Oryctolagus cuniculus: one gene and its partners. The protein of the gene in region 5 purifies or fractionates together with the protein of the main gene of each other region. This does not show direct contact. Links are inferred from orthologs where the notes say so. Each region holds a gene or a part of one and is shown on either strand. Other genes may lie near its edges.

The links.
Region 1: the proteins of VIM (region 5) and XPNPEP3 purify together in Homo sapiens (affinity purification with mass spectrometry; 3 studies listed by BioGRID and IntAct, with this or other methods). This does not show direct contact. The link is inferred for Oryctolagus cuniculus from reciprocal best matches to the Homo sapiens genes VIM and XPNPEP3.
Region 2: the proteins of VIM (region 5) and GAN purify together in Homo sapiens (affinity purification with mass spectrometry; 3 studies listed by BioGRID and IntAct, counting the BioPlex papers as one, with this or other methods). This does not show direct contact. The link is inferred for Oryctolagus cuniculus from reciprocal best matches to the Homo sapiens genes VIM and GAN.
Region 3: the proteins of VIM (region 5) and SQSTM1 purify together in Homo sapiens (affinity purification with western blotting; 3 studies listed by BioGRID and IntAct, with this or other methods). This does not show direct contact. The link is inferred for Oryctolagus cuniculus from reciprocal best matches to the Homo sapiens genes VIM and SQSTM1.
Region 4: the proteins of VIM (region 5) and NES purify together in Homo sapiens (affinity purification with mass spectrometry; 3 studies listed by BioGRID and IntAct, counting the BioPlex papers as one, with this or other methods). This does not show direct contact. The link is inferred for Oryctolagus cuniculus from reciprocal best matches to the Homo sapiens genes VIM and NES.
Region 6: the proteins of VIM (region 5) and SYNC purify together in Homo sapiens (affinity purification with mass spectrometry; 3 studies listed by BioGRID and IntAct, counting the BioPlex papers as one, with this or other methods). This does not show direct contact. The link is inferred for Oryctolagus cuniculus from reciprocal best matches to the Homo sapiens genes VIM and SYNC.

The regions. Positions count from the first base shown.
Region 1 is NC_091442.1:116,931,534-116,935,473, forward strand, and holds the start of XPNPEP3 (xaa-Pro aminopeptidase 3), read left to right. Parts: upstream 1-1,140; 5' UTR 1,141-1,217; coding exon 1,218-1,281; intron 1,282-3,940. Other genes in the region: ST13 (hsc70-interacting protein), read right to left, coding at 538-647. UniProt on the Homo sapiens protein: Catalyzes the removal of a penultimate prolyl residue from the N-termini of peptides, such as Leu-Pro-Ala. Also shows low activity towards peptides with Ala or Ser at the P1 position.
Region 2 is NC_091449.1:63,462,506-63,466,440, reverse strand, and holds the start of GAN (gigaxonin), read right to left. Parts: upstream 2,801-3,935; 5' UTR 1-2,800. UniProt on the Homo sapiens protein: Probable cytoskeletal component that directly or indirectly plays an important role in neurofilament architecture.
Region 3 is NC_091437.1:67,652,959-67,657,093, forward strand, and holds the start of SQSTM1 (sequestosome-1), read right to left. Parts: upstream 2,801-4,135; 5' UTR 2,440-2,800; coding exon 1,998-2,439; intron 1-1,997. UniProt on the Homo sapiens protein: Molecular adapter required for selective macroautophagy (aggrephagy) by acting as a bridge between polyubiquitinated proteins and autophagosomes.
Region 4 is NC_091438.1:42,101,868-42,105,809, reverse strand, and holds the start of NES (nestin), read right to left. Parts: upstream 2,801-3,942; 5' UTR 2,652-2,800; coding exon 1,869-2,651; intron 831-1,868; coding exon 706-830; intron 1-705. UniProt on the Homo sapiens protein: Required for brain and eye development.
Region 5 is NC_091444.1:43,369,833-43,373,332, reverse strand, and holds part of VIM (vimentin), read right to left. Parts: 5' UTR 2,207-3,500; coding exon 1,644-2,206; intron 997-1,643; coding exon 936-996; intron 1-935. UniProt on the Homo sapiens protein: Vimentins are class-III intermediate filaments found in various non-epithelial cells, especially mesenchymal cells. Vimentin is attached to the nucleus, endoplasmic reticulum, and mitochondria, either laterally or terminally.
Region 6 is NC_091438.1:139,843,896-139,847,395, forward strand, and holds part of SYNC (syncoilin), read left to right. Parts: intron 1-2,630; coding exon 2,631-3,500.

The DNA of each region.
Region 1 (3,940 bases), on a different chromosome or scaffold from region 5:
GGAGACCCCGCGGCGTGCAGGCCGCCACTTCCACACACCAGCGCGCACCTCCGCCTGCGCTCGCGCGCACCCGGCGCCTGGCACGGCGCCTGCGGAATGAATTCCCTGCGCGGAGCCAAGCACAGATCGTGGGAACATTCTGGTCTCGGCGGGGGGGGGGGGGGGGGGGGCCTCGGGTCGCACGTTTGCTAACGGGGCAGACTCCGCGCGTAACCACGTCTACGCAGTCAGAACCTCGGCGAGGCGACGACCACCACCACCCAACGCGGCAGCCGCAGAAACGGAAACCCGCGCCCGGCGCCCAACGCCCAGGACTCCGGCGTCCACTGGCGTCCATTGGCGACCATGGCCTGCACGCCTGGCCACCCTCGGGGTGCGGGGGGAGGTGGTCGGGGCGCAGCGCTGCCCGCCGCCGGGACCCCCGGCTTCTCCCTCGGGCCCGGCAAATCGCCGCCCGCGCCCGGACCCGGACCCCGACGCCGAGGGGCGCCCGCCCGCCGCCGCCGCCAACGGTCCGACCCCAGGCCCGGCTCTCACCTCTCCACCCACTCTCTCAGGAAGCGCATCTCCTCCGTGTGCAGGACGCTCGGGTCCTGCTTACATAACTTCACGAAGGCCCGGAGCTCGTTCACTTTGCGGGGATCCATGGTCGGCGGGCGGCGGCTGGCGGCCCCGATTCCAGGCCCGGGCGCTGGCTCAACGTGACCGCGTTAGTAGGGGGGCGGCTGCCGCGAGGCAGAACAGACTAGAACCTCCCCGGCCGCCGGCTCCGCCCACCCAACGGTCTCGTGACCCCGGGTCCTTCGCTAGCTCGCTGCTACCCGCTGCGCACTGCTCAGAACCTTCTAGAAGTGTGGGTGTTCGTGCTGTTGCCTGCCTCTCGTCGCACACACCTCTGAACCGGCTCCCAGGAGAGGCCGACTCCCTACGTGGGTGCCTTCAAAGAAGCGGGAGACGGCCCCTCCGGGCAGTCTGTCAGAATACGACCTTCTGGGGACGTGGGCATTAAGTGGAGCCTGACCCCAGGACCGAAGAACGGACCTTCCGGCTAGAGCGAAGGCCCCAGGAGGGGCGTGACGTCATCACAGCACGCCCGCAGGAACGGCGCCCGCCGGAAGGGGCGGGTCGGTTGGCTTGGTTTCCTGGCGACGCGGCCCTGCTGCAGGCGGCTTCCCGGAGCGCTGGGCCTCTTCTCCTGACGCGTGGGCTAGACCGTCATGCCTTGGCTGCTCTCAGCTCCCAAGCTGGTTCCCGCCATAGCCGGCGCTCGCGGCCTCTCAGGTCAGACCTCTCCTCCCAAAAGGTGTCCCCTGTAGTGCCGGCCCTGAGAAACTGGGGCGCGCTAGACGGGGATTCAGGTTGGCCGCAGGCGGGCCCTGGTGTCTGCGGACGCTTCTACTGGGGCCCGCCGCTCCTAACCCGCGCTGTGCGTTCTCTGCGGACGTCTGCGTTCCCGCCTGCGCCTGGGAGAGGGTGGGCTCGTGCGTTGTCGCTGCGGTGACTGCGAACGTGTGCCAGCCCCGAAAAGGGGGGCTGTCTCCCCGAGATGCTGCGGCCCACGCACGTTGAGTCAGTGGTCGCCTCTTGCTTAAGGCCAGGGAGCTCCAGTTTCGGTGAAGTCAACGTAAAATCCCGTTCGTCGTCGGGGTTGACTTCAGCACGCACAAGACCCAAGCCTCTCTGAACAGGCCCTCCCCACAAGAGCTACTCCCGGGCCGCCCTGTCTGTGGAGACGAGAGGAGTAAGGGGGACTGCCCTCTGCCAGGCGTGCTGTTTAACCTGGTGAGAGTGGAAGCTGCATCTTGCACCTTCCAGGCGGATCCGCCATGGGGTCGGATTTCAGGTTGGGAGGGGGCCGTAACAGGCATATGGTATTGGACAGCAAATCCGTGTCCCTTGGTGCGTGTGTATACGGAGTCCTGGAAAAACGGACCCACCTCCTCCTCACTCCGTAAGAATAAAAGCCAGTGTCCAGCGCGCCGGACTTGCTCTTGCGTTCTGTAGATCGGCCGCGGGAAGCTGCCTGCGTGGAATTCAGCGAAAAGGCACCCGTGCGATTGAGCGCTCACCGCAGAGGCCACACCTGCAGCTGTCTGTGCCTCTGACTTGGGGAGTTCAGGAGGCTTTGTCCAGCACCCGAGTAATTGAGACTTAGGACTAGATACTGGTTATACACGCCCAAATATTTGAAATAAATTAGCAAGTTTAACCTCTTTTATTAAAAGATTTTTTTTTTTATTTATTCGAAAGAGAGGGAGAGACGGAGGCATCTTCCATCTGCTGGTTTACTCCCCAGAGAGCCACAACAGCCAGGGCTAGGCCGGGCTGGACCAGGACAGAGCCAGGAGCCAAGAGCCAGGAGCTTCTTCCAGGTCTCCCACATAGATAGCAGGGGCCCAGGCATTTGGGCTATCGTCTGCTGGTTTTCCCAGACCATTAACAGGGAGCTGGATTGGAAATGGAGCAACTGGAAGGTGAGCCGGTGCCCCATGGGATGTCAATGTCACAGGTGGCTTTACCCGCTAGACCATAACGCCAGCCCCTAGTTTAACCTCTTATGTCATAAAATATATATCAGCTTTTTGAACTCAATGAATGATCTTGAATTGTCATAAGTCCAGTAAGGGCAGAGGTGCTTGTTTGACCAGTGAGGAGCTGAAACAGGATCACAATAAGTCAGGAGTTCTTCTTCTTCTTCTCCCTTTTTTTTTTTTTTTTTTTTTTTGATTTTAGACAGGCAGAGTGGACAGTCAGAGACAGACAGAGAGAAAGGTCTTCCTTTGCCGTTGGTTCACCCTCCAATGGCCGCCGCGGCCGGTGCACCGCGCTGATTCGAAGGCAGGAGCCAGGTGCTTCTCCTGGTCTCCCATGGGGTGCAGGGCCCAAGCACTTGGGCCATCCTCCACTGTACTCCCTGGCCACAGCGGAGAGCTGGCCTGGAAGAGGGGCAACCGGGACAGAATCCGGCGCCCCGACCGGGACTAGAACCCAGTGTGCCGGGACTAGAACCCGGTGTGCCGGTGCCGCAAGGCGGAGGATTAGCCTGGTGAGCCGCGGTGCCGGCCATCTTTTTTTTTAAGAAATTATATAATCGAGGCAGAGAGTGAGAACCCTAGCATACACAGCCGCATACTCTAGTTCACTCCCCAAATGCCTGCACAGGCCTAACTCGGCCATGGTTACAGCATGTAGCTGGGAACTCAGTCCAGGTCTCGCACCTGCGTGGCAGGGACCCAGCTACTTGGGCCGTCAGCTGCTGCCTTCCAGAGTCTGCATCAAAGGCATGTGGAATAGGAGGCAGAAGAATCACTGTGGGACGTGGGCATCTTGACCACTAGGCCAAATGCCCATCCCTTGCTTGTCATTTAGAAAACCTCAAGTCCATGTCTGTCTGGCTACCTTTCAAATTAACAATTAAAAAAATCAGAAAGTTAATCTGAAGTTTGAAAGACTTCTAGCAAGCAGACTAGAGGAAAGGAGCTATCCTGGTGGAGGGAACATCTGCAGAGGCACAGAACTGAAACAGAACGGCTGATCTATGGGTTGCAGCCATTGGTGTGACTGGAGATTTTTGTTTTTAAAATATGTGTTACACCACAAGGACCCACGTGTGGGCAGTACTGTGTTTCTTAATGTCCATAACAGTGTAATTCTCAGTCTCTGAGAAGATGTATTTGGCAATATGTATTTGACCATGGATTCTCTTTTCTGTGGTGAGTCTTTTTTTTTTTTTTTTTTTTTTTTTGACAGGCAGAGTGGACAGTGAGAGAGAGAGACAGAGAGAAAGGTCTTCCTTTTTGCCGTTGGTTCACCCTCCAATGGCCGCCATGGCTGGCACGCTGCGCCAGCGCACCGCGCTGATCTGATGGCAGGAGTCAGGTGCTTATCCTGGTCTCCCATGGGGTGCAGGGCCCAAGGACTTGGACCATCCTCCCTTACA
Region 2 (3,935 bases), on a different chromosome or scaffold from region 5:
TTGGCGCGCCTTTCTCCAAGGAGCTGCTGTACTTTGAACGCTGCTCGGGCCGGAAACTCGCTGCGATGACTTTATGCAGGCCGCCTCCTAGCTTGTATGTTCATTGTCTCTTGGCACCACTCGCCGGCGCCAAGCCCAGTGCTGGGCACACAGTGGTGCTCACTGAATGTCAGATGGAGGGAACTGTGACTATAGGCGCTTAATAAATTTTTTCTAAATCAGTTATACACATTATTTGTGGTTTTTTTTTCCTCAAGTGGATTGTCATTAGAGTCAAAAACGACATATGGCAGGGAAAGTTCACTGCAAAATGTAGCTACTTGAAAATATGACTGCGGGGGCTGGCGCCCTGGCCTGAAGTGCCGGCATCCCATATGGGCGCTGGTTCGAGTCCTGGCTGCTCCACTTCTGATCCAGCTCTCTGCTATGGCCTGGGAAAGCAGTAGAAGATGGCCCAAGTCCTTGGGCCCCTGCATCTGCATGGGAGACCCAGAAGACCCAGAAGAAGCTCCTGGCTCCTGGCTTCGGATCGGCACAGTTCCAGCCGTTGCGGCCATTTGGGGAGTGAACCAGCGGATGGAAAACCTCTCTCTTTCCCTCCCCCCCCCACTCCTCTCTGTGTAGCTCTGACTCTCAAGTAAAAAAAGATAAATCTTTAAAGAAAGAAAGGGCACCGCGGCTCACTAGGCTAATCCTCTGCCTGTGGCGCTGGCACCTGGGTTCTAGTCCCGGTTGGGGCGCCGGGTTCTGTCCCAGTTGCTCCTTTTCCAGTCCAGCTCTCTGCTGTGGCCCAGGAAGGCAGTGGAGGATGGCCCAAGTGCTTGGGCTCTGCACCCTCATGGGAGACCAGGAGGAAGCACCTGACTCCTGGCTTCGGATTGGCGCAGCGTGCCGGCCATAGCAGCCTCTTGGGGGCTGAACCAACGGTAAAGGAAGACCTCTCTCTCTCTCTCTCTCTCTAACTCTGCCTGTCCAGAAAAAAAAAGAAAGAAAATGCTGAGTGTGGAGTGCTACGTCTTCCACCAGGGTCAGATGGCCGGCCATCCTGGAGTGGGAGGGCGGCCTTAGCTGAAGTAACTGGAGGAGGGTGGGATTAGTCAGCCTCCTCTGGGCACACGTGGACCTGCGGTTATTGACAGAAGGAAACAACGAGAGGACCGGGCCGGAGGCTCCTGGACAGACCCGTGTAGGCCAGGAGGAGTTGCTGGCCTGAGGGGGCCGGAGGGCAGGACACCTGTACAGTTCTGCCACCCCCGCGGTTTGCATGGTTTGCGCCTCCATCGCGTGGTGAACTCACTCTTCCTGTAGCTCAGCCTCGACCCCCGCAGTCAGCTCCCCTGCGCTGTGTCCATGCCTGTGTGCTGCACCTGCCACACCGCACCACCATTTGTTGGTTAAAAGTCTTCCCCTAAGCTCCTGCGTCCTCTCGTGTCCCCAGTGACTGGTGCTTGACGGGAGAACCCTGAATGCGTCACATAATGAGCTAGGGGTGGGAGTCAGGTACATGACCAAAGCAGAACGGGATTTGGGGTGTCAGACCATAGGGGTGAGGTGGTTATGGGGAACTGATGGCTCTGTAGGGTAAGAGTCCAGTGGTACCAGATTTGACAGTTCTTCAACAGAGTGAACAGTCAGGTTTGTCAGTATTAACACATTCCATTTGGAGACTGAAGAAGCATGGGCTGCAGACAGCATCTGGCTTTAATTCATTTTAGAGGGAATCAGGGAGCCATCTTGCTTTGCCAGTAGGAAGTGTTGAGTTGGGTTCAGGTGCCCTGGGGAAGGAAGAGGGCCCAGGTGTGGGAGGGAGGATTTGGGAGGCAGAGCCGGCCTCCCACTGCTGCAGGAGCCACTCCCGTGGAGCCTGGGACTGTTTTGAAGCCTTTCTTGATATTGCTCAAACCAAGCCGCCCTTGACATTATGGCCAAGAGAGTGGGGAATATCATGTTATTGTTCCCCCACATTCCATAGGTGTCAGAAATCAGGTGCCATTGTGCAACGTCATCTAAGAGATGTGATAACATCTTGGCAGTTTCAGTCTCAGATAAATGGTTTTGTTTTATCTGAGAACCAAAAAGGATGTTTGCAAGAGATCAACAGTAATCACTCACTCAACAAGTGTTTAGACACCTGCCATCTGACGTGCTGCGGGCACAGGGACACTGACGCTACCATGCGAGTGGTATTAGAGACTTTTGCTACCTTTGCACTTTCCCCCATTTGTATTTTCTGCATGAGCCATGTGCCCTTTTTACAACCAGGAAAATAAAAAACAAGAAAGCAATTTCCATTTGCAGAAAGAAGAAGGTTCTCTTGCTTTGAAAAACGAGTCAAGAGACGGATGCCCTTGGGGATTTGGACTTTCACAATAAGAGAGAGAGGCCAGTAAAAGCAGTACTGAACGGCAGGGGAACAACTCACAGTTTGAAAACTTTTGGGCCGGCGCCGCGGCTCACTAGGCTAATCCTCCGCCTTGCGGCGCCAGCACACCGGGTTCTAGTCCCGGTCAGGGCACCGGATTCTGTCCCGGTTGCCCCTCTTCCAGGCCAGCTCTCTGCTGTGGCCCGGGAGTGCAGTGGAGGATGGCTCAAGTGCTTGGGCCCTGCACCCACATGGGAGACCAGGAGAAGCACCTGGCTCCTGCCTTCAGATCAGCGCAGTGCGCTGGCCGCAGCATGCTGGCCATGGCGGCCATTGGAGGGTGAACCAACGGCAAAAGGAAGACCTTTCTCTCTGTCTCTCTCTCTCACTGTCCACTCTGCCTGTCAAAAATAAAAAAAATTTAAAAAAAATAAAAAACTTTTCAGAACTCTCACCTCAAATCCAACATCCATGTGCGTGAAACCTGAGTGAAGGTCGCACGCGGCCCAGCAGGGCCCACGCAGACCGAGGCGCAGCCCTTCTGCCTTCCAGCCCTGTAAGCTTTTCCATGACACCAACCTGACTCTTCGTAAACATTAATTTGGTCGAGACCGTCTCTTCTGATTCATCTTGAGGTAGTCCTCAGACATTTTATTGGGTAGGTCTGTCATGTGTCCAAATCTAAATATAGTTCTTTTGTTTCCGAAAAATCAAAGCGCTTCCAAATCGCTGAGTCAGAGAACCTCTCCGTGCCTGCAACGTTGGCTCTGTATGTTTACAGTCGCCAGAGAGGTGTCTTGGGCACCAGTGCACTAATTAACTGGCCACGATGCTCCACGGAGTGAGTGACCATCTCTGTCCAGACCCCGCACCCAGCACGACGCCGGACACACACAGTAGGGGCTCGGTAAGTACCTGCCGCATACAGGGAGGAAGGACTCTTCTCTCCACAGAGAGCACCTCAGAGCTGCTGTCCCCGCGTCCCCGCGTCCCCTCCAGCTGCTGAGCTGGCGGCCCCTTGGCATCCCCAGGCACGTGTCCACAGACGCCAGGAAATCAACTCCTGACTATCCCTGGCATCTCACCGTTCCCCAGGCAAGTGGGAGCGCCATCATTTCCCCACGAACAGGAACCTGGGGTCATGCAGCCTTCATCGCATTCAGCGAGTCCTGCAGCTTCTAGGCAGGCCCTCCTCAGTGTGCAGCTGCTTCTAGAAGCCTCCACCAACAGCCCCTGACCTAGCACCATTCGACTCCTGCAGCAGCCTTCTCACCCTACCCTGCTCTTCTCTTGCCCCCTTGTGGATTCTTCCTCCCCATAAGGCAATAAGTCAAGCTGCTTCCTCATTCAAAACCCTCCATCAAAATCAAGGAAAAAAAAAAAAAAGCTAAAGTCCTTACTGTGGCCTACAAAGGCCTGTGGAATGTGACCTCTGTCTCATCTGTGACCTCATTGCCCGCCACATCCCCCCTCTCAGTGTGTGCCAATCAAACTGGCCTTCTTGCTCTTCCTTGAGCAGAGGCCTGCCACGCACACACCTCAGGGCCTTTGCACTGCCTCGTTTCATAGCCTG
Region 3 (4,135 bases), on a different chromosome or scaffold from region 5:
CAGGGCTCCCATGTAGGAGGTGAGGACCCAATTACTTGAACTTTCACCTACCCCCTGCCAGCATCTGTCCTGGCAGGAAGCTGGAGTCGGGAGCTGGGATCCAACACGGGCCCCAGGTATCTTAATGGGTGAACTAACCACTAGGCCTGATGCCCACCAAGGCCACTTCTTTAGGGGTGGGGCTGGACAGATCGGGGATAAGAAGGGAGCCTGCCCATTCACTGGACAGGAAGTGTGCCCGCCTGGGCCTGAACCTGGGCCACGGTCACACCTAAAAGGCAAAGTTTCCGCGTACACTACACGGACAATAACAGTGCCCTGTCCCTCAGAGGCCCAGCCCGCCAAAGGCTCTGGGCTGTCTGCAATGTTTAAGTGGAGATGAGCCCAGAGGCCTGCTGCTTTCTCCAACGAAGAAAAAAGGCTGAGTCCTTCTATGTTGGCTTCCGTGATTTTAAAGCATTGCCACACAGACCAGACCAGACCGCACCGTGCACAGGCTGCAGGCGGGGCCTGGACTTGGGCACCAGAGGGCAACATCTACCCTCAGAGCAAGAGTGGCACTTTTGCGAAACAACCCAAAAGTCCATCAACTAATGACACAAACACGATATGGCATATCCACAAAAGAAACGAATACAGATGCAGCCTACACCTCTGATGAACCTGAACGCATTTCCCTAAGGAAAGAAGCCAGACACAAAGCTAAACTGTACAACCCCCTCTCCACCACTGTCCAGAAGAGGACGCCCAGGAGAGAAAGCAGCTCAGCGTTGCAGGAGCTGAGGGAGACAGGTAAAAGGCATGGGGTTCCAGTGGAGAGGAAGGGGTTCTCATGCTGACTGCCAGCGCCTGGCCCCGCTCTCCAGCCCCAAGTCTGCTCAGAAGTTCCAACTGGTGAATGTGTTAAAGACCACTGCATCGGGGCAGGCATTTCTGCAGCGGCTAACTGGCAGCCCGGAACACTGGCAGCCCATATGAAAGTGCCTGGTTGGAGTCCAGGCCACTCCACTTCTGATCCCGTTTCCTGCTAATGTGCACTGGAGGAGGCAGCAAAGGATGGTTCAAGTGCCTGGGTTGCTGCTACCCTCCTGGGAGACACTGATGGAGTTCAGGCTCCTGGCCTGGCTGGGGCTGGCAGCTGTAGCCATTGGGGAGTGAACCAGCAGATGGTAGGTTGGGGTGTGTGTGTATGTGTCTCTCTGCCCTTTCAAAATGAAATAAAATTTTAAACCCTTGAATTATATACTTTAAATGAGTAAATTTTATGGTATGTGAATTACAGCTCAATAAAATTGTCACCAGGAAATTAAAAAAAAAAAAAATGCTGGGCAAGCTACTGAGGGCGGTCCCAGCCCTGCTCCCTCCCAGGGGCGGGCCTTGGCCGAGGACCTCCCTCCCACACTGCTGTCCCGGGACCCCACCCCCAGCAGCAGCTACCGGTCTGAGCAGCGCAGCCAGAAAGAGCGGTGGCTCCGGGCTTGTCCCCACTCTGAGTTTGTGGAGAACGTTTCGACATCGGCCGTCTCCCCACTGCCTTGTCCCTGGGCGACCTGCGGCCTACCCCGGGCTCAAGGGCCCTGCGTCCCCCAGCCGCCCACGCCCACCACCCACTTTCAGGGCTCGCTGAACGCAAACCTGGCGCCGGCGGGCCCAGCCCCGGCAGCAGCAAGATGTCAGTGTAACCCGAGTGCCCGCCTGACCACCTTCTCAGCCCAGGGCCAGAGAGGACGCCCCGGCGCGTCCTTGGCGAGATCTGCAACATTATGGCGGGGAACAGGAAGCATCTAACGACCCAAAGTCCCCAGCCCGCGGGGCCTGATCGCCTCGGCCCCTGAGGGACAGGGCCTGGGTCACTGGGCTGGCACCCGAGGTGCAAGTGGGGTACGCGCAGGTCACCGCTCACCCAGAGCGCGACCAGCACAGCATCCCTTCCGACGCAGCCGGCACCGACTAGGAAAGGGCAGCCCCGGACCCCGGCCACCCCCCGGCCCGCTCACCGCGGTAGTGCGCCTGGAAGCCGCCGGGCCGCAGCGCCGGGAACAGAGCGGCCACCCGGGCCAACAGCCGCTCGCAGGGCCCGGGGCCGGCCGCTGCTTCGGCCTCGGCCTCCGGCTCCGGGCTGAAGCAGAAGCTAAAGCGGCGGATCTCGCGCGCCGCCTCCTCTTTGCCCAGGAGGTAGGCCTTCACGGTGAGCGACGCCATCGCAGCCGGAGAACGACGAGCAGCTGCGCAACCGAGGGAGCACCGGAGGAGGCGGCGGCGGTGGCGCCAGTGGCGCGTGGCTTTTGTAGGGCACGCGGAAGCCCCGCCCGACGTGGACTCCTGGGGGCGGAGCCTGCACTCTTCGGGTGCCGCCCCCCACCGCCGGGGCCGCCTCTCGCGAGTCTCCCTGCCAGGGCCCCGTGCCTGCTTGCCCCTCTCCCCGCTGCCCTTTGACATGGTCTACCGCTCTCAGTCTGTCCCCTCATTGCCCCCAGGGCACCGGAGACCCCCAGAGCAGGCCTCAGCATCTGTACCTCCTGAAAGGAATGGGCTGGGGTCCTGTCCGAGGCCCCTCTCCGGCTTGGGCCTGGCTGTGACTCAGCAGAGCAGGTCCCTGGTCATCAGCAGGGGTTGCCCAGCACAGGACAGAGGAGGACACACAGAGCCCTCTATCCCAGGAGGCATCTAGGCTGCCCAGTGGGCACCACCAGCCGGAACCAGCTGGCTGCTAGGGTACCCTGCTGCCCTGCCATGCGTGACCCCCAGAAGGCAGCCCTACACCAACCACAGCCTCCTGCATGAGCGTCCCTAGCTGTCCAGGGCCGGCTGGCCGGCTCGTCCACTAGCGACGGCAGTCAGTCACCAAGTGCTGACTGCAGCTCAAAAAGACACATGGACGCCCCCAGCCCTGTGAGCCCAGCAGGCTGAGCCTGACGCCCCAGGCCCTTCCTCACCATCACCAGGAATGGTTGATCAGGGGTCCTTGTTTTAGCACAAGAACTTCAGCCATGGGACAGAATAGCAGCAAGCGTGCTGGCCAAGTCTGATGAAAAGAATGCACCTGACAGAGTAGGCGGGCATCTCCATCAAGAGCTGAACCCACCTGCTTTCAGACTGGGGTTTCTATGGATACGGGTATAGCCCTCTTTCTCCTCTCCCCTCCCCTCCCCTTCTGGGACACGTCTGGGGGAAGGGCTTCCAGAGTGTGGAATTCCTGAAATTCCTCCCAGAACTTCATCAGCAGTATTATTGGACCTAATAGCCACACACACACACACACACCCCCCCAATGCAGGGCAGGGATTTCTCTAAGCTGCCCCTGGGAAAAGGCTGGGACCCACTCAACAAGGTTATAGAAGGAGACCAAGGCTCTTTTTTTAAAAATGTGTTTATTTATTTTACAGGCAGAGTTTTGGATAAAGAGAGAGGTCTTCCCTCTGCTGGTTCACTCCCCAAATGGCTGCAACAGCCAGAGTTGAACTACTTCGAAGCCAGGAGTTCCTTCCAGGTCTCCCACGTGGGTGCAGGGTCCCAAGGACTTGGGCCATCCTCCACTGCTTTCCCAGGTCATAGCAGAGAGCTGGATCAGAAGAGGAGCAGTCGGGACACAACCGGTGCCCAAATGGGATGCGGCGCTGCAGGTGAAGGCTCAGCTGCTGCGCCACAGCACTGGCCCCACCTGAAACTAAGACTTTTGAGATGTAAATACTGCTCTGCTTCCCAGGCTTGCTTCTGTGGTTCTTCCCTCACCCAGCCACACAAATTCCCATTTCTTCCCTCTCACAGATGCAGGCTGCCTAACAGACCTGTCAGGGCAGGGGGCCAATGCAGCAGGTGCCTGCCTGTAGGGCCTCAAGAGTGTTGGCCACAAGGGCGGCCAAGGGGATGGGACCAGTCACCTTTCAGCTGGGAATCCAGAAACTCTGCTTCCTGGGACCAAAGTGACCTGTCTGCAAGGCCTGGGGGAAGGCGCTGGGAAGGGAGGTGTGTCACCCCCCCCCCCAGACCTCCCAGGCAGGTCCTGTGACTAAGAGTCAGCCCTGTTGGGTCAAACCCCCCCCCTTTCAGGTCAAGTTTGTGGGAGCAGCTTGGGAAGCCCAGCGATGAGGGTGGGCTGGTTGGATGGGGGTTAGGCAGATGCACAGGTGGCCAG
Region 4 (3,942 bases), on a different chromosome or scaffold from region 5:
CCGGACATGCCCCAGCACCCCTGCCTTTATTTTGCCATGGACTCTGGGAGCAGAGGCCTTGGCAGGGGGGTGCCCCTAACAGCCGGGCCCCCACCCTTCACAAGGCGCAAAACCCCTTCCGGGGGCTCAGACGGACGCTAGGCCAGCAGGTCCTGGGTTTCAGTTTTCCCTGGGGCAACAGGAAATGCGGTCAGCAAAGGGCTGGGCAGGGCCAGTGGCACTGGGCTGGAGAGGAGTCCGGCTCCATGAAGTTCAGGCTAGGAAAGGTCTTGGAAGTCACCTAGCGCAGCTCCTAGCTCCCAGGCAAGGCCGCAGCCCGGAGAGGGGGCAAGTCTCCTAACTGAGGCTGCCCAAGAACAGGCTCCCTAGGTGTGCGCACACACGCAGAGACTGGCATCGCCCCCCCCTAGGCGAGGGCCCATGCAGATGCCCCCTGGGTGCCCAGCCCCGTCTCCAGAGGCCATCTCACTCTGCTTGCGGCACTTTGCTGGCCACTGGCCACTTCTCTGGTCCTGGACCCAGCGAGCAGCAGGTGGGCTCAGGTGGGACATGTGCTGGTACACGAGTGACCGGCCTCGAATCACAGAACCCAGGGAGGGCAGAGCTGCCCCCACTCATGCCTCTGGGTCCCCTCAGCAAAGGGGCCCCTGCCCTGGTAAGCGCGTGGGCATCCGGGGGCCTGGGTGGGTCCGGGGCCACCCGTACCTGTAGGTGGCCACCTCCAGGCTGAGAGACATCTTGAGGTGTGCCAGCTGCTGCCGACCTTCCAGGACCTGGGCGATCTGGCTCTGCAGGCCCTGCTTCTCCTGCTCCAGGGCCTCCACGGCCAGCTGCGGAGCAAGCCAGAGGAGTCAGTGAATGGTGGGGGCCTCGGGCCACTCACCTACAGCCCCCGCCCCGCAGTGGCCCCCGCCCGCAGCAGCCCCAGCGTCTCCAGCTCTCTGGTTTGCTGAAGCTACAGCAGACCCCCGTCCCCCTCCCCCACCCCACTCCCACCCCCACCCCCACCCCCACCCAGGGAACCCCAGCTGTGCTGGTGGAGAAGAGCCGAGCCCCTCTCCCGGCCCCCTCTCCCCCAGCCCGGCTCCTCCTCTGAGGAGGCTGATTAAATGGTAGCACATGCTGGGAACTCAGCTCCCACAGGAAGGGGGAGGTGAGGGAGGAGAGGAGATGGGTTACAGAGAAGAGGAGAAAAAAGTGGAGGCAGAAGGAAAAACGATTAATCAGGAGGCCTGGAGCCTGCAGGACTGCAAGCCGCATGGCCGGGCCGTCAGCAGGCCCCCACCCCTCCACTTCCCACAAGTTCTGGAATCTTTCTCCTCTGAGAGGAGGTGGGGGGGGGGGTGGCCATGGCGAGACCTCTGTCTGGCCCACGCAACAGGCTGTTTGCTCAGCTGCTGGTCACATCTGTGCCGGGTGAGGGGGAGCAGCTGTCCCAGGCCTCCGGAATGTGCTCCCAGGAGCCAAGGAGCCCAGACAGGGGAGAGGGGCTGCTGGGCCCTGATCCAGGCCCCTCGGCCCTCCTGCAGGGAGAGGAGGGTACAAAGGACCCTGGAGAGCCAAATCAGGGGTGACGCACGGAGGGGGTGTGCCCGGCGTCTGCTGAGCGACCACACAACCTAGGCAGGGGCCCTCGGGGAGGGAAGGGGCTGCTGCCAGGGGTCCTGGCCTGCCTGCCTATCCAGGCAAGCATATGCAGAGGCCTCTGACAGCCCACTGAGCCGGGCTGTCCCCAGGTTCGAGTTTTCTGAGAAGTGGCTCGGCTCCCGACTTGGCAGTCACTCATGCCCTACTCCTTTCCCGAAGGAGTCTGAGCCTCCTGGGGGCTTCCTGGAGCCTGGTCTCATGCAGGTCTGCCACCTTCTCACCTGGAAGTTCTCAGTGGCACGCAGCCGCTCCTGCCAGCGGCCCTCCAACCTCTGCTCCAACGCCGCCCTGCGCTCCTGGAGGCCGCCGCGCTCCGCCTGCAGCTGCTGCAGCTCCAGGCGGCTCTCGCGGGCGCCCTGCACCGCGCGGCCCAGCCGCTCGCGCGCCTGGCCCAGCGATGTCTCCATGTGCGCCACGCGCTCCTGGTAGCCGCGCACGGCCCCGCGCCACGCCTCGCCCAGCCGCTGGGCCAGCTCCTCCACCTCGGGCGCGGGCGCGGGGGGCGCGCGGGGCGGCGCGGGGCCCCGGGGGGCGCAGGCAGCCTGCGCGTTCAAACTGGCGCGCTCCTCCTCGTGCGCGGCGCGCAGAGCCTCCAGCTCGCGCTCCAGCTCGGCCGCCTGGTTGGTCAGCCAGCCCCGGGCGCACTTCTCCGCCTCGACGGCGCGCCGGCTGCGGGCTGCCTCCTCGGCCGTGCGCTCCCGGGCCAGCCGCAGCTGCTGGCATCGGCCGGCCACACCCTCCAGCTCTTCGGCCAGGTTGTCGCGCGCCACCTCGGCCGCGTGCTTCTCCCGCCAGCGCTGGTCCACGAGGGCCCTCAGGGCTGCCAGTTCATCGTCGGCGCGGGCCCGCCAGGAGGAGTCCCCAGCCTGCGCCCGGAGACCCCCGAGCTCCGCGCTGAGCAGCTCATTCTGCTCTTCGAGCGCCTTGACCCGAGCCAGATAGGCCTCCAGGCGCCGGTTGAGCTCCCACATCTGAAAAGACTCCTCTCCCATGCAGCCCTCCATCCTGCTCGTCTGACCCACCGAGGGTGGACGGACGCGGGGCACCGGGAGAAGGGAGCGGCCCTCGGAGCCTTTAGGACGGAAGAGAAAAAAGGCGACCGGAGGGGACAATGACGGGGCGGGGCGGGGAGAAGCCCGAGCGACTGAGAGTCGGGAGTGGGAGCGAGGCTATTCATACTCCCGCCAGCCAGGCGGGAAAGGGGCGGGTCCAGGCTTTAACCCCTTAGAGTTCAGCCTCGGCACGGGGCTGTCTCCCTGCGGGCTCGGGGCGCCGGAGGGTGGACCACGGGAGACACCCTGCCGCAAGGAACCCTATGCGACGGTGGCGGCTCTCAGACGGGTGCGGCGCGGTGAGGAAGGATCACAACGCCCAGAAAAGCAGATGAGGCACAGAACTGAGCCCGCAGGGGCCGCCGAGGCCGGGGTGCGAGCATCCCGTTACTCAGCACTCCCAAAAGAGCAGTAGTTCCCGAATTCCTCTAAGATTTACTTTCTTCATCCATAGAAGGCGAAGCTCCATGGGCCTCTGAAAGGGCGTGGCCACACTTTTCATAAATAGCAAAAGCTGACCCTGGAGAGAGATGGGGTTTCTTGGAGGACAAAAGGATCAGATATCTGATACTGGGGGACACACACGCGCACGCACACACACGCACACACTATTGCCTAGCTCCTGTCAGGAACGGGAGAGACCAGACAAAGGGAACGCGTGGAACGGACTTGGGAATGCTTTCTCTGTTTCACCCTCTCCTTCCTACATCTGGTTCCTATACCCCAGTTCTCAGGGACGGGCCCCCATCTTCTCCCGGCTCCAGGGATTTTTAGGCAGAGAGCACCGCCTGGTGGCGTAAAGATGCGATCCAGAAGTCCCAGAGGCAGCTCTTCCCTCCCTCCCAGGAAGTCCAAGTTTGCTGAGCGTGGGTGGTGGGTCAGCCTGTGTTCTAATATTTCCCTTCCATGGGCTGACGTAACTCTCCAAACGGCCTCCATGGATCCCGCAGTCCAGGCGGCAGGGCGCTCACGGGGGCACAGTGGGACCTGGGGTAAGTGGAATAAAGGCTAAGCAGGTGGGGGGGGAGGGGTCTCTGGGACAGGGATGCCGAATATCCGAGATCCCTAGGGTCCTTGGGGGTGTCCCCTGAGTGGTGGGGTGGGCACGGGGTGGAAAGTTTCTCTTCTGGGCCCTTAGACACCCCAAGAGGTCATGGGTCCCAGGCAAGGAGCAGGCACCCATAGCCTGGTGGGGCCAACGTCAATGTTTACCAGACTGGAAACAGAAAATAAATTTATGAAG
Region 5 (3,500 bases):
AATTGTAAGTTAAAATTCCTTTAAGTCCATCTAACTTTAGAGCCAAAAAAAAAAAAAAAAAAAAACACTCTGCAGTTATTTTTGTTGATGGAGATAGTGTCAAAGACCCCCATACAGGTCTTTCAAAACACAAAGAATGACTGTAGCGTGTGCAAGGTTTCACATCGCAGCCTTCCCAAGTCTGGGCCAGAGAGTAGGTAGCTGATGTTGGCAAATACTTCTGTCCAATGAGAACTGTGCTTACATCACTACATTCTCAATGAGAATGTAGCCTGCAGCAAAGCTGTTCTGGGAACACAAAGACTCCTATTATGTCTGTCTAGGGCCACCACATTTGCCAGCACGTCTGTATCTACATTCCTGGTGAAGCCCATGGGAACCACTAACACCCTTCAGCTGAGCGCGCAGATGGCTGTGCCTAGTGATAACTTCCACCTAACTTGAACGCCACAATAGACTTGCAGAGCAGGGAAGCAGCCTACTGGCTGCATGCCAGCGTCTCATCCTCCAACACATTTTACATTGGAAGCCACAGGGCCTAACTGCGCTTTTTGTGGCCTTGTAAAAAGTCAACCAGCTTGGCTTTAGCAAACCAGAATCTAAGCCAAACTGTAACTGTTCGCAATCCGAATGTTAATGTGTTGCAAAAATGATATGAAAAAATATGTCTTGGGGGGAAAATAACTGTTGAAACAAAACAAAACAAAAAAGTATAAAAGACTTTATGTCCTAAGCAACTAAGGAAATCATTCAAGGGTTTTTTTTACTGAGAGGCTCTAAGCCGTGGTCTTGCCGCCGCTAGGGGGCTTTGCGCACAGATGTGAAGTTTTGCGCTTATAGACTGAAAAGTTAGAAACTTTGAGAGCGGGCCGGCGGGGTGGCTGGGTGTGGCCCTGAGGCCGCCTTGGGGGGGGGGGGGGAGGGAGTCCACAAACCTGTCTGAAAGACTGCAGGGTGCTCTCGGCTTCCTCTCTCTGCAGCATCTCCTCCTGCAACCTGAAAACAATTGCTCGTCAGCCAAAGAGGAACCGGGAAACCGCCGGGGGCGGGGCGGCCACACCCAGCCACCACGTCGCCCGACCGCGAGTCGCGAGTCCCGAGCCGCGAGCCGCGAGCCACGAGCCACGGCGCCACCCCAGCGGGCAGCAGACGAGCGACCGCAGCCTTCGGCACCACTCTCCCCGGCGGGTTTTCGCGGGACCTGGGGCGGCCCGGCGTGGAAAGGCGATGCCAGTGGCAGCCGCCGCCCCGCCCCTGGGGACCCTCGGCCATCCCTTTGTCTTGCTTCCTCCGCAGCCTCCCCCTCCTCCTCCCGCCTGGGGACTGGCAGCGTGCCAGCAGGGGCCGGGAAACTTTCTGAAAGTTTGGGCCCGTCGCTTCGGTCGTGCCCAAGGGCCTTCGAGCACGCACAAAGCGGTCGTTTTAAGAAATCTCTTAACTTGAAACGGACCTACTTGGGTTATGGGTAAGGGAAATGCTAACCGCACGGCTCGGGTTCAGGGCGGGGCTGCGCCGCCGCAGCCACATTGCCGCGCCCCTGCAGTCCCCTAGGCTGCAGCCGCCCCGGCCAACGCCCCAAGGGCGTGGCAGCCCTCTCGGGGGGGCCCGGTCCCAGCTCCCTCCCGGGGCCCCGCAAGCCTTACTTCTCCCGGAGCCGCATGATGTCTTCGGCCAGGTTGTCGCGCTCCACCTCGACGCGGGCCTTGTCGTTGGTGAGCTGGTCCACCTGCCGGCGCAGCTCCCGCATCTCCTCCTCGTAGAGGTCCCCCAGGCGGGACTTGCCCTGGCCCTTGAGTTGCTCGAGCTCGGCCAGAAGGATCTTGTTCTGCTGTTCCAGGAAGCGCACCTTGTCGATGTAGTTGGCGAAGCGGTCATTCAGCTCCTGCAGCTCCACCTTCTCGTTGGTGCGGGTGTTCCTGAACTCGGTGTTGATGGCGTCGGCCAGGGAGAAATCCACCGAGTCCTGCAGCAGCCGCACGCCGGGCACACTGCTCCGCAGGCGCCCCGCCGAGGAGCGCGTGACGTACGCGGTCCCCGACCCCGAGGAGAAGAGGCTGCGGCTGTTGGTGGGGCGCAGCGCGCTGCCCAGGCTGTAGGTGCGGGTGGACGTGGTCACGTAGCTCCGGCTGGAGCTCGGCCGGCTGGCGGTGCCCGGGCCGCCGAACATCCTGCGGTAGGAGGACGAGGACACGGACCTAGTGGACATGGCTGCAAAGGGCGGTGGTGGGCTGGGCGGCTGCGGCGGCGCGGACGGGCTCCGAGAAGAGAGCGAGGGCGCGGTGGGTGTGGGCGGTGGAAGCGCTGCTGCGTCTCTGGCGCGGGGACCTCGGAGCGAGAGTGGCAGAGGACGGGACCCCGTCGAGGGCGCTGTTTTTATAACCCGGTTAGGAAAGAGGGTCCCCTCCCACTGCCATCCTAGCCGCCGTGAGCGCCAGCCAATGGGGACCCGGCGAGAAGTGGGAAGGGTGGGCCGGGGCTTGGGGCGGGGGCGCCCTGGAGCCTTCCCAGTCTGAGGCTCTGGCCTGGGCCACGTCCCGTTACTTCGTGGGCTGGGCTGGGCTACGCTGAGACTTTCTGGGGCTTTCCTCAGGATGGCCGGAACTCTTTTTCATCCCAGGATGTTAATGAAGGCGGGGTTGCGCCGTGGTGGGTGTGGGGATCCGCTTGGATCTGGACCAAAAGGGTCCCGGGCACCCGGCCCAGGGGGCGTGGGAGGAGGCGCGCGGGCGGGAGCGGTGCGTGGCGCCTGGATTGCTGCGGTTTGGGAGCCTCTGGATGGGGAGACCTGCGGGCAAGGGGCATGAACAGGGGGAGTAAGGGATCCAGCAGATCGCCAGGCGCGGAGGAGAAAGAGACAAAGAGCGCCCGAGATTGGAGCGCGGGGTGGGGGCGCACACAGCCAGAGACGCAGCGCGGGGCTTCGCGCAGCCTCGGGCACCGCCTGTTTGCAAGGGCGGGCTCCTCTGCGCGCGACGCTTCTCAGTGTGTCCTCTTTAGGGGGCTCCGGCCCGGTCTCGTCCAGGGACTCAGGGGCTCAGTCCAGCTTGGGACGGCCGAGCTGCGAGGCGGCGGCCGAGGGAAGCCCAGGGGAGAAGGGTGGGGTCGCTGAGTCACGGGCGGTGACTCACAGCACCCCGCCGAGGGGTAGGGCACCTAGCGGTTCAGGGGAAACCGTTAGACGAGCTTGACTCAAGTTTCCGCGGGCCCCGCGCGCACTTATCGCTCCAATCTCCACTGATTTGGAGCTGGGCCTCCGCTTTGATGTGTGCGGCCCGGGCTGGGGGCACAAGAGCGCCCCTAAGTTTTTCAGAACTCGCCGAAGTCTGGCTTTGCTCCCAGGCTGCGAACTTCTCGCTCGTGAGAAACTTCTGCAGCCCTTGGAGCGTCACCAGGCATGGGTCTGGGCGCTCTTGAAGGCGCTGGTTGAAGACCTGGCTTTGCACGGTTCCCTGCCGCCCTCGCCCGCCCGGGCTCCTTTCGTCCGCCCCCTTCCTCCCCCC
Region 6 (3,500 bases), on a different chromosome or scaffold from region 5:
GAGGAGAGGCAGAGAGACAGTCTTCCATATGCTGGTTCACTCCCCAATTGGCTGCGCTGATCCAAAGCCAAGAGCTTCTTCCAGGTCTCCCACGTGGGTGCAGGGACCCAAGCACTTGGGCCATCGTCTACTGCTTTCCCAGGCCACAGCAGAGAGCTGGATGGGAAGAGGAGCAGCCGGGACTAGAACCGGCGCCCATATGGGATGCCTGTGCTTCAGGCCAGGGTGTTAACCCGCTGCGCCACAGCACCGGCCCCAAATAAATAAATCTTAAAAAAAGAAAAACAAAGTTTATTTGAAAGGGGGGAGGGAGGGAAAGAGATTTATCTGCTAGTTAACTTCTCAAATGCCTGCAACAGGCAGGGCTGTGCCAAGCTGAACAGGAGCCATAAGCCAGCAAGTGTGGAAGCTGGTCAGAAACAGAGGTGGGTCTTGATTGGAGACACGTGGATACGGGGTGCAGGAATGCCAAGTGGCGGCTTCACCTGCTGCACCAGAACGCCTGCACCTGTGCCGCCGTATTCTATAAGGGACTTGAGCAGCTGCAGATTTTAGTCTCACGCAGGAGCCGATCCCCCACAGACGCCAAAGGACAACTGTGCTCTGTATCTGGAAGGGAGAAAAACTTCCTGAAGGCTATGCTATGCTCAAATTTAGTCTGTTTTATGAGTGATTCACACTGAGGGTCTGAGTTACCTTGAGCAAGTGCATCTGTTCTAACCTCAGTTTCCTGATCTATAAAATGGGGATAACATGAAAACAGCCTCATAGAATGATGATGATTAAATGAGTTGAAACATGGAAAGCATGACACCTGCCTCCCGTGTCAGAGTACTGGCTTGAGTCCCAGCTGCTCTGCCTCTAATCCCGCTTCCTGCTAGTGTGCCTGGGAAAACAGCTGAAGGTGGAAGTGCTCAGGCCCCTGCACCCACGTGGGAGACCCAGACAGAGTTCCTGGCTTCGAACTTTGGCCTGGCCCAGCCCCAGATGTTGAGGCCTTTTGGGGGAATGAACCAGCAGATGCAAGATCTCTCTGTCTCTAACTCTACTTTTCAAATAAATACATACATGCATCTTTTTAAAATTTTTCCTAAGGTCCACGGTAGGTAAGATGCATTTGAAACTGAAGCCCACAACCATCCATGGGCCAGTGCAGGAACTGACTAAGCTGGCAGGCCACAGGCAGCTCCGTCAAGGATCTCCTATGTTGGAGTCACAGAATCTGAGTCGTGCCTTTGATGGGCCAGGAGATTGGCTACTTCTAACAAGATGCCGTTTTACAGGAATACGGGATGTGGCTTAATAGCACTTGGTGTGAAAAGGCCTTAAAGGATTTTTTTTTTTGAAGTTATTTATTTATTTGAGAGGGAGAGATGTCTTCCATACACTGGTTCACTCCCCAGATGGCTACACCAGCCAGAGCTGAGCTGAGCCAATCCAAAGCCAGAAGCCAGGAGCTTCCTCTGGGTCTCCCCCGTGGGTGCAGGGGCCCAAGCACTTGAGCCATCTTCCACTGCTTTCTCAGGCCATAGCAGAGAGCTGGATCAGAAAAGGAGCAGCCGGGACTTAAACCAGCACCCATATGCTGGCGCCGCAGGCAGAGGCTTAACCTGTAATGTCACAGCACTGGCCCCCAGCCGTAAGGATTTTAGTCGGACTCAGCACTTGGAAGAGCACGATGGGGCGGGGTGGGTGTTGTGGTACAGCGGGGTAAGCCCCTGCTTGGGATGCTGCATCCCATAGAGGAGTCCTGAGGTCACCCACCTCCTCCAGACTTCTTTTTTTTTTTTTTTCTTTTTTTCTTTCTTTTTTTTTCTTTTTTCTTTTTTTTTTTTTTTTTTTGACAGGCAGAGTGGGCAGTGAGAGAGAGAGACAGAGAGAAAGGTCTTCCTTTACTGTTGGTTCACCCTCCAATGGCCGCTGTGGCCAGTGCGCTGCGGCTGTCGCACTGCGCTGATCCGAAGCCAGGAACCAGGTGCTTCTCCTGGTCTCCCATGGGGTACAGGGCCCAAGCACTTGGGCCATCCTCCACTGCACTCCCGGGCCACAACAGAGAGCTGGCCTGGAAGAGGGGCAACCGGGACAGAATCCGGCGCCCCGACCGGGACTAGAACCCGGTGTGCCGGCGCTGCAGGTGGAGGATTAGCCTGGTGAGCCGAGGCGCCGCCCGCCCCGCCCTGCCCCACACTTCTAATCCAGTTTTTTGCTAGTGTACCTGGGAGGTAGCAGATGATGGCTTAGGTACTTGGGCCCCTGCCACCCATGTGGGAGACCTGGACGGAGCACCTGGAGAAGCCAGTGAGGAGGGCCTGGAGGGTGTGGCATGGATGGAACACTGGGGGAAAACCGTTAGAACTGTGTGAGTCCGGAAGGGAGAATGGAGCCCACACGCAGCTATGGCAAGGAAAGTTTTCTAACACAGGGTGTGGCTAGGACCGTGGGACACAGGGACGCCTGCCCTGGGAGTTTCCCGCCCTCAAGGATGGGTCAGGGACCACAGTGACCCGCGGGGGTGCCGTCAGGGTGGCGGGGCTGTGTGTGTGGGTGTGACGCCTGGGCTTCTGGCCTTGGACACCAGCACTCGGCTCCATGGCTGCCCTTTCACTCCCAACCATCTGTCTCTCTTGCAGGGCGTCGGGAGGAGAGGAGACCTCTGGATCCCTGAATGAGGCAGAGGCCTTGGACCCAGAAGCTGCGCTCTCTCTGGAGTGGTCCCTGAACCTAGAAGACATTCTCTACCTGGGGGACTCTGATGACTTGGCCGAGCCGCTCTCTCTGGAAGACACTGAGAAGCCAGCGGCGACCCTGTTCATCGAGGAGGCGCCAGATGAGGAGGAGCCTGCGGTGGCGCCCGCGGAGCCAGGGGAGACCTCGAGGCCCGTGCAGGCCGCGGACCAGGCAGAGGCGGTCGGGAGCGAGGAGAAGCCCAGCGCCGAGGAGAGCCGGGCAGTCGCACCGCCGCCGCCGCCCAGCACCGAGGAGAGCCTGAGCGCCGAGGACCTGGAGGTGCTGGAGCAGCGTTTCCAGCAGTGCGTGCAGGCCGTGGCCCGCCTGGAAGAGGAGCGGGACCAGCTCATCCACGAGCTGGTGCTGCTGCGAGAACCGGCCCTGCGGGAGGTGCAGCAAGTGCACGGGGACATCCTGGCTGCCTACAAGCTGCACGCGCAGGCCGAGCTGCAGCGGGACGGGCTCCGGGAGGAGGTGCGGCTGGTCAAGCAGAAGCTGTTCAAGGTGACCAAGGAGTGCGTGGCCTACCAGTACCAGCTGGAGTGCCGCCAGCAGGACGTGGCCCAGTTTGCCGACTGTCGGCAGGTGCTGACCACGCGGGCGGCCCAGCTCTCCGAGGAGCTGGCGCAGCTCCGGGACGCCTACCGGAAGCAGAAGGAGCAGTTGCGGCAACGACTCGAGGCACCCCCGAGCCAGAGCGATGGGCACTTCCTCCAGGAGAGCCGGCGGCTCTCTGCCCAGTTCGAAAGTCTCATGGCGGAAAGCCGCCAGGG